Linked DNA regions of Macaca fascicularis. The protein of the gene in region 1 purifies or fractionates together with the protein of each later gene. This does not show direct contact. Links are inferred from orthologs where the notes say so. Each region holds a gene or a part of one and is shown on either strand. Other genes may lie near its edges.

What was found. Proteins that work in one complex are often made in the same cells at the same time.
Region 2: the proteins of ITGA3 (region 1) and CD9 purify together in Homo sapiens (affinity purification with western blotting; 3 studies listed by BioGRID and IntAct, with this or other methods). This does not show direct contact. The link is inferred for Macaca fascicularis from reciprocal best matches to the Homo sapiens genes ITGA3 and CD9.

Annotation. Positions count from the first base shown.
Region 1 is NC_088390.1:56,658,196-56,662,480, reverse strand, and holds the start of ITGA3 (integrin alpha-3), read left to right. Parts: upstream 1-1,479; 5' UTR 1,480-1,925; coding exon 1,926-2,125; intron 2,126-4,285.
Region 2 is NC_088385.1:7,101,184-7,105,306, forward strand, and holds the start of CD9 (CD9 antigen), read left to right. Parts: upstream 1-1,321; 5' UTR 1,322-1,420; coding exon 1,421-1,486; intron 1,487-4,123. UniProt on the Homo sapiens protein: Integral membrane protein associated with integrins, which regulates different processes, such as sperm-egg fusion, platelet activation and aggregation, and cell adhesion.

The DNA of each region.
Region 1 (4,285 bases):
TGACCAACATGGTGAAACCCCGTCTCTACTAAAAATACAAAAATCTAGCTGGGCATGGTGGCAGGCGCCTGTAATCCCAGCTACTCAGGAGGCTGAGGCAGGAGAACCGCTTGAATCCGGGAGGCAGAGGTTGCAGTGAGTGGAGATAGCGCCACTGCACTCCAGCCTGGGAGACAGAGTGAGACTCCATCGTCTCAAAAACAAAAACAAAACAAAAAACAAAAACAAAACAAAACAAAATGCTCTGGGGAAAATGGGTCTCTGAGCTGCAGCAAGAGAAATGTGAGTTAGATCTAAGAAAGTACATAATTACCTCTTTTTTTTTTTAGACGAAGTCTTACTCTGTCGCCCAGGCTGGAGTGCAGTGGCGCGATCTCGGCTCACTGCAACCTGCGCCTCCCGGGTTCAAGCGATTCTCCTGCCCCAGGTAGCTGGGACTACAGGCATCCGCTACCACGCCCGGCTAATTTTTGTAATTTTTTAGTAGAGACAGTGTTTCACCATATTGGCCAGGCTGGTCTCGAACTCCTGATCTCGTGATCCGCCCGCCCCGGCTTCCCTAAGTGCTGGGATTACAGGCGTGAACCATCGCGCCTGGCCAGCGTAACCTCTTGAAGTTCCCTTTCAATTTGATTCCTTGGTGGAGGAGACCTTTAGGCTCCGCCCACCTACCGCCACCTGGCGCTACCCACCAAACACCTGATGGGGGCTGACGTCCAAGCCCAGTCTCCAAACACTCTGTTCAAGCTTGGGTAGGAAGAGGGAGCCTCTGGGATTCTCTGGGCTGGGCCCTGAAGGCAGGAGTGGACGAGAAATGGGTACGGTCTAGGCTCAGCTTCCTGGCGACGCAGTGCTTTCTGTGAAGGAGGGACTCATTTCTACATTGACAGTCTTATCCCTTGATACCAGAAGTCGCAGGGAAAAAAATGCTTTTTGGTAATTACAATTAGCGACATTTGGTTGTTACCACTGCTAAATATGTCTGTCTTTGCTGAGGGGCCAATCTCAGCTCGGATCCGGATGAGTGGACAGGAGAAATAAATCTCTGCAAACACAGCGAGGAGCCTGGGTGAGAGGAAGAACTCCCAGGGACCGACAGCCACCTCTTGGGGACTCACAGCGCTGCGGAGGCGAGTCCAGCATTCCAGCCAGCCGCGCGCGGAAGTCTGTTCCCAGATGCGCCAACGCCAGGTCTCTCCAGCGGGCTGGCCTTTTCAGCAGCAGCAGCAGAGGCAGGAAAGCGGCCGGACAAATCCCACCCCCGGCTCCGCCCGTCACATCCATCTTGCTCCCGAGACGACCCTTTCCCAGAGAAGCGAGGGGCGGGGAGGGGAAATCTAAGCCTTTGGGTGTTGCCGACAGGTGTTTGGGGGAGAAGGCGGAGCTGGGGTAGGGAGGATGAGGAGGGAGGGGCGGTGCTGCCCCTTTAAGAGGCGGTGGCCGAGCCGGGACCTTTTTCTCTTTCCCCGGAAGGAAAGCGCAGCCCGGGCTGGGCTCGCAAGGTGGTGAGGTGCGGGACTGGGCGTGGAGAGGCGGGGCGCGCCCCGCAGGACCCCTCCCTCCTGTCCTCCTTGCGGTCGACCGGTGCGCTTGCCAGATCCGCCGCGAAGCCGGGATCGAAGGCAACAGCGCGGCCAAGGGGGCGCGGCCGGGACAAGCTGGGGGCCGGTTGCCCGGGGCAGGGACGGCGGCGACCCGGCCGCTGGGGAGACGGGAAGATAGACCCACGGATCTTAAGAGGGGATCCGAGAGCGCAGCTGTGAAATTGGCCGAGGCTGGGGGCACGAAACCGATCAGCACTACGGAGCGCAGCGGCCGGCGGGTTTCAGTGTCCTCCGGCGGCGCGGGGAGCAGGTGAACAGGTCCTCACGCCCAGCTCCGCGCTCTCACGCGCTCTCGCCCGGACCCCGCTCCCGCTCGCAGCCATGGGCCCTGGCCCCAGCCGCGCGCCCCGCGCCCCACGCCTGATGCTTTGCGCGTTGATGGTGGCAGCCGGCGGCTGCGTAGTCTCCGCCTTCAACCTGGATACCCGATTCCTGGTAGTGAAAGAGGCCGGGAACCCGGGCAGCCTCTTCGGCTACTCGGTCGCCCTCCATCGGCAGACAGAGCGGCAGCAGCGCTACCTGTAAGTGAAGCTGGAGGCTGTGGGGTGGGAGCGAGAGTGTGCGTGCGGGGGATGCGGGTCCGGAGCGGAGTCGGAGTCCGGGGCAGCTGGCCCTTGGGAGCCAGGATTAAGGGGCGGGTACCCAGGCGGCCCACTGGCTGCTGGGGGTTGGCGGGAAGTGGAGGATTGGGTGTGAGGTCGGGCAGTAATCATTGGCAAGTGCTGACGGGGCCAGAACCTGTCTGGACGCCACCCCTCCGCCCTTTAGATCTCTCCTGAGAGCGGAAGTGGGGTCCCGGTGACTGAGTCCTCTCCCATTATGTGAACCGAGTACCCAGCACTAGCCTCTTCTCTCCAGGGCTGGGAGCTGGGGTAAACTGCAAGATAAACACCCAGCGGACCCCCCTTCCCCTACGCTTGGGAGAAAAATGAGCATATGCATTTAAGCACCTCGCTGGTAGTCTGCGGCCACGCCAGCCACACCCTCTGCAGAGCCAGACTGGATGGCCTTCTCAACCGCTGGCTTGGCGGATGGAGGGTGAGGTGATGGGTGAGTCTGGGCGTTTGGAGCTGTCCATACGCTCCCTTTGACGCCTTGAGGATAGCGGCAGTGGAAGAGAGAGGAGGACTTGTCCGAGCTCTGGCTGCGTCTCCTCCTGCCCACCCCCAAGCAGTGGCACTCTCCCCACAGACATCCTCCCTGCATTCCACGGATTCGTGTTGGATCTTCAACCCTGAGTGTGTTTGTTTTGGTTTGAAGAGGGAAACAGTGTTTTTCTCTTTCTTCTGTTCTCCTTCCCCAACAGCTGCAAGGAGGAGGGGAAGAGCTATGCATAGGGGAGGAAGGAGGAGGAGGTTGCACCCAGCCGCCTGGGTCCCCCTCACTCCACCAGACACACTCATGCCCAGTAGCATGTCCAGGATTCAGAGGTCTCTCTGCTGTGGCCTCAGAGCATGCCGAGGTTGGTGGCTGGGGAGGTGAAGCTGTCCAAAGAGGGATGGTGGTTAGGACAGGTTAAGCAGGTACCATCCACCTCTTTGGGCTGGGTGATCTGCCCCCTCCTAGCCTCTGCCCCCACCTGGCCTCTGACCCCACTGAACAAGAAGATGTAGTCACATTCAGGGTACACTGAAATCTCTCCCTGCTCCGGTTGGGGCCTGCAGAGATTGAGGAAGTTTAGAATGTCCAAAGTCCAAACTCTGACCCTGCCTTGGTTCTGCCCTCCCGACCTAGCCTGCCTACCTGGACTTAACCTCAACTCCATCTTGCTCTTGCAAAAGCTAGGGCTACCACACCCTTCCCTGCCTGGCCCCAGCAGCTGCCACCTGGCCTTAGCCAACCCTCTATCTTTTGGAGATCCTGAGCCACCAGGAGCACACGTTTCTACATCAGCACTCTTTCTGCCCTAACCAAGAAAAAGATTTTCAGACTTTCAATGCCAAATCTGCATGATATAAGATAACATAGGTAAAGAGATCAGACTGGAAAGAAAGAGTCAATAATGATTCCTCAACCCCTCCCCCTTTTGCCTGGTGACCTTGAGCAAGGTCCCCTCCCTGGGCCAGGTTTCCCCCAAAAGGGGTTGGACCTGGATCTAGTGCTCTTTCCCACTGCTGCTGGCCTGTGAGAGTCAACTTGATATGGTAGAGGGAGAAGAGGCTTGGAGGTCCCATGGCCAGTGTCCTGTCTCAGATCTGTTACCAATACCTGAACCTGAATTTCCTTACGTGTTGGAGGGAGGGGAATAGCATGCCTTCTTTTGGGATGTTAGTGGGGCTGTAACTAGATAAAGTGTGTAAAATCCTCTGCACATGTGCCTTTCTCCAAGGAGCACCTGAAGGCTCTTGCGCTGAGGCCAGAACCTGGATGCATCCTCATTACCCATGAGCCCCCTCCAAGGTGGCTGAGCAAAGGGGTTCTACTTTTCTCTCTGGGAAACTGGAGCTGGCATTCAGCCTGCCAGGAGCCCAGAAGGTTCTAAAGCTAATGAACCTCTGAGGGGCAGGAGTTCTCTCCCTTGAGTATCCTCAGTCTTTCCTAAGGGTGGTTCTGTATCTTGGCCTTTCTTGTCATCTCACTGAATTCAACCCCTTGGCCATTCAACCCCTCGGCCATTTGGGAGAGCCAGCTGGGCTTAGCTGCAGCCAGCTGTGTAGCCAGATGCAAACAGCTGCCTGAGT
Region 2 (4,123 bases), on another chromosome or scaffold:
TGTTTTTTAATCAATGAGACAAGTCTAATGATAATAAACAGGAAAATAACAGCAATGTGCTAACAGTGGCTGTTTCTGATGAGCAGAATTTTGAGTTCTGTTACTTTTACTTCTTGGTATTTCGGTTGTTTCTGTAATGACTATATCTTGCTTTTGCAATAATAAAGGACGCTAAAGGAAACTTCATTTTGAAAATAATACAAAGGGATTCTGGAACTTCAAAGGACGGGGACTCTCCTCGTCCACTCCGGAGAATCAGGAAAGGAGTGTTTAAAGACCCGCAGAATTCCTACAAGTGACGTGGGGAGGGCCAGCCAGCCAGCGCGCATGCCGGCCAGAGAGCGAGGTGGGCTCTGGGTCCGGGAGATGTCAGATCAGTGCTCTGCACAGGGCCTGGAAGGCAGGACGAGGCATTTCGACTTAGGTCCTTGAATCTGGAGAGCTACAGAAAGTTTGTGAGCTGAAGAGAAGCGCTCCGAGCTTGGCATCTGGAGCAGTCCAAGGCAGCAGCGAACACGTCCAAAGACGCAGGAGGGAGGGTGGGGGAGTAGAGAGAAAACAGAAGCCGTTTACAAACCCTTTTCCCCTTTAGGGCAACTAAACCTCAAGTGCAGGAAGCGCTTGGGGACTGCCCAGCCCTCAGCTATGTTATCATTCGGTGATAGGTACTTGCTAATGACTTCCAAAAGCCTCCCATCTGTCATCCCACCCAGACTGCGCGCTTCTAATTCCTCCTACCCCACATGCTGTGCCCAATGAAAAGTATGGCCAGCGAGCGAAGGCTTGCAAGGAGGCAGCCGAGGGCGAAATGAAGCCAGGCGGCTTCCCTTTAAATCCTCGCAAAGCAGAAGGGCCCCTCATTCCGGGACCAGGCCTTGGACAAGGGGCCTTTAGCCCGGACGACCCGGGGAGAGTCTCCCAAAGTAAAGAGCCGGGTCGGGCGCCCAGACCAAACCGGGGGAACCGGAAGGGCGAGGCCGCCACAGAAGTCCGCGGTAAAAGTGGCAGGGAGTGGCTGCCTGGAAAGACCCCAAGACGGCTGGAAGGGGGGGGGGTGGCGGGTGGGGGTTAGGGCGACTAGGCGGGGAAACAGGGAGAGGGTCGGGCTCCGACGGGCAGCTGGGGCCGAGACACGCCGGACCTGGGCGGGGGCAGGGGGCGGGGTGCGGCCCGGGCGGGGCCGACGGGGCGGGGCCGAAGGGGCGGGAGGCGTGGCCGGCGGGGGAGTGGGGGGCGGCTTTTCCCGGCACATGCGCACCGCAGCGGGTCGCGCGCCCTAAGGAGTGGCACTTTTTAAAAGTGCAGCCGGAGACCAGCCCACAGCCGCCTGTATCTGTGTCCAGCCCGGGTACCGCCTGTCCCAGCTGCGCTCGCCCCTCAGTCCCGCACCCGTTCGACCCAGGCTAGGTTAGCCCTCACCATGCCGGTCAAAGGAGGCACCAAGTGCATCAAATACCTGCTGTTCGGATTTAACTTCATCTTCTGGGTGAGTGAGCGCGACTGCCGCACGCTCCACTCAGGGGCCACCTGTTCGCGGACCCCGGACACTGGCCGCGGGTGCTGGCAGCTGGCACTGCCCGCACCGGGCAGGCACCGGGCGGGAAGAGAGGGGGCCCTGCGGCTGCCAGCTGGCTCCAAGGCCGGGTCCAGAGCCGGGCGGGACGGCCGCGACGGGCGCATTCGGGTGGGGGCTCACCACCGCCCAGCGGGCGTGGGGAGCCGGGCCCTCCTGGGATGGGGCGTGCGGGCGGGTCCTGAGCCCTTTCCCTCGCCTAGGATTTGAGCTGGGCTGTGTGTCTGCTCCCAGCCCAAGCCCCTCCAAGTGCCAGAGGGGAAGGCAGGGAGAAGCGGAGCACCCCTCTTTGGGCCAGGGCCAAGGAGGACTGTGGTGAGCAGTGCGGCTCGTGACTGGGTGGGGTCTCCCAGGTAGTAGGGGGCGCGAGGAAGGGAGGGTGCGGGCACGGCGAGAGCTCAGCCAAGAGCTGCTCTCACTTTTACACAGGAGCGGAAGGGGTGCCTTGGCTGCGGGTCCGGCCCCGGCACCCAGTCCCTGAGAGTCGGGGGCTCCTCCACCCTTGAGGAGGAACCTCGCAGGTCCCGGTTCCCTCAGACTTTGATTCTGAACCACCGTGAGAGCGCCAAACTCCCTGGCAGCTACTGAAAGACTAGCTTGTCTTGATTTCTTTCAAGGCTGATAAGTATCTTCACTGGAGAGAACTCTGGGAGCTGGGGAGAGGAGAGGAGAGGGCAGATACCTATCTGCGCCTCTAGTGGGATGAGTCCTGTGTGTGCATTTCCGGGAGAGATCAGGTGCCAGCCAGCTGCCCGCCCAGGACAGCCTTGGCCTTGCCCCCTCCCCTCCCCGCCAGCCCAGGCGGCCCACCCAAGGCCAGGCAGGGCGCAGAGCGGACGTTCATCCGGAGAGGCCAACGAGGCCAGGAGCTCCAGGGACACCCACTGCAGGCCACTCAGCCTCTACAAATGGGAAGACAGAGAGGTGACAGAAGCAAGGAATAGGAAACCTTTGTGTCCTTGTTTCTGTAGCCACATTCCCTACACACGCATGACAATACTTGCCCCTCTGCAGGCAGTAAGATAGTCTGTGTGCCACTCTCAAGATGGATGTAGAAACAGGTGCATGCCACCAGAGTCTTGTAACAGAAAAAGTGCACTTGGCCAGGCACAGTGGCTCATGCCTGTAATCCCAGCACTTTGGGAGGCTGAGGCAGGAGGATTGCTTTCATCCAGGTTCAAGACCAGCCTGAGTAACATAGTGCATTAGACCCCATCTCTACAAAAAATAAACAATTAGCTGGGCGTGTTGGCATGCACCTGTGGTCCCAGCTACTCAGGAGGCTGAGATGAGAGGATCACTTGAACCTGGGAAGTCAAGGCTACAGTGAGTCATGATTGCACCACTATACTTAGCCTGGGTGACACAGTGAGCCCGGTCTCAAAAAGAAAAAAAAAGAAAGTGTACTTATTCCCCTGGTCACTGAGGTCCCCACAAGCCTCCTTAGGGAAATCTCCTAAGATTTACTCCTCCCCAGAGCTGAAGGGGTGGTCGAACAGATTTTCCAGTTTGTAGAGATTGACCTCCCCTAGTGCATCAGTCACCATAACACACGCCCTAGTGAGGACAACATGTAGGTGTGCTCCTGCCCAACCCTTGACTTGCTTTAAGAAGACCCTGCCGGCCGTGGGCACCCCTCTCCTCCTGTGTTGCTACCCACCCCAGCAACCAGCCAGCTGCCACGCTTAGCTTCTTCCTTTCACCAATCCCTGGCAGCAGAAAAGTATGTGGGAAGGCAGCTGGCCTCACCCACCCTTGACCTTTGGGAGTTTTCCTCTCCCCTCCCAGGTACAGTCTCTCCCTGCCTGTGTTGGTTCGTCCCCAGCTGTCTGCCTAGACTGCATCCAGGTTTGGGACTGCAGGGAAACACAGACGGCCACCGTGTGCCTCCCTACCCCCATCTGCCCCATGGCATATGCAGGAAGCTGATGCGAGGCTCCCACGGCCAGTAGTATCTACTCTGTCTGTGGCCTGCTGGCCTGCAATCTGTCCGTACTGTCCTCAGCCTGCCACCCCCCTCGTATTCAGAGCCCCCTACCCCTGGCCCCGGCCTAGGTGCAGCTGATGAGCTATGTAGTCTGAAACAGAAATCACTCGCACTGGAAATGTTTGGAATGACTTGAAGATCGTACATTCCAGCCCTCTTATCCATAGTGAGGCAGCAGAGGAAGAGAGATGGGGTGATTTACCCAGGATCACAGAGCCAGAGCCAGTATTACAACTCCTGGGGCCCTTACTTCTGTCCTCTTCCATCTTCATCAGAAGCAGGAAGGTGGGCAGTAGCTATGCTTTCCTGAATTACTGCTCATTTGTCTGGTATCTGGGTCCCTATGGAGACGAAGCCCTCATCCCTAGGAGATGATGTAATGAAAAGGAAGACTGTGGTCGGTCCACTTGTGCAGAGTCTTAGTCTTTAGAGCCTTTCTTGTTCTAGCCCCATGATGTAGCCAAGAGCAGGACGCATTGTCCCCACTATACTGACGATCAGGAAACTATTTCCCAGGGAGGTTAGGTGACTTATCCAAGATGACGGGGCAGGGTGGTCTCAGA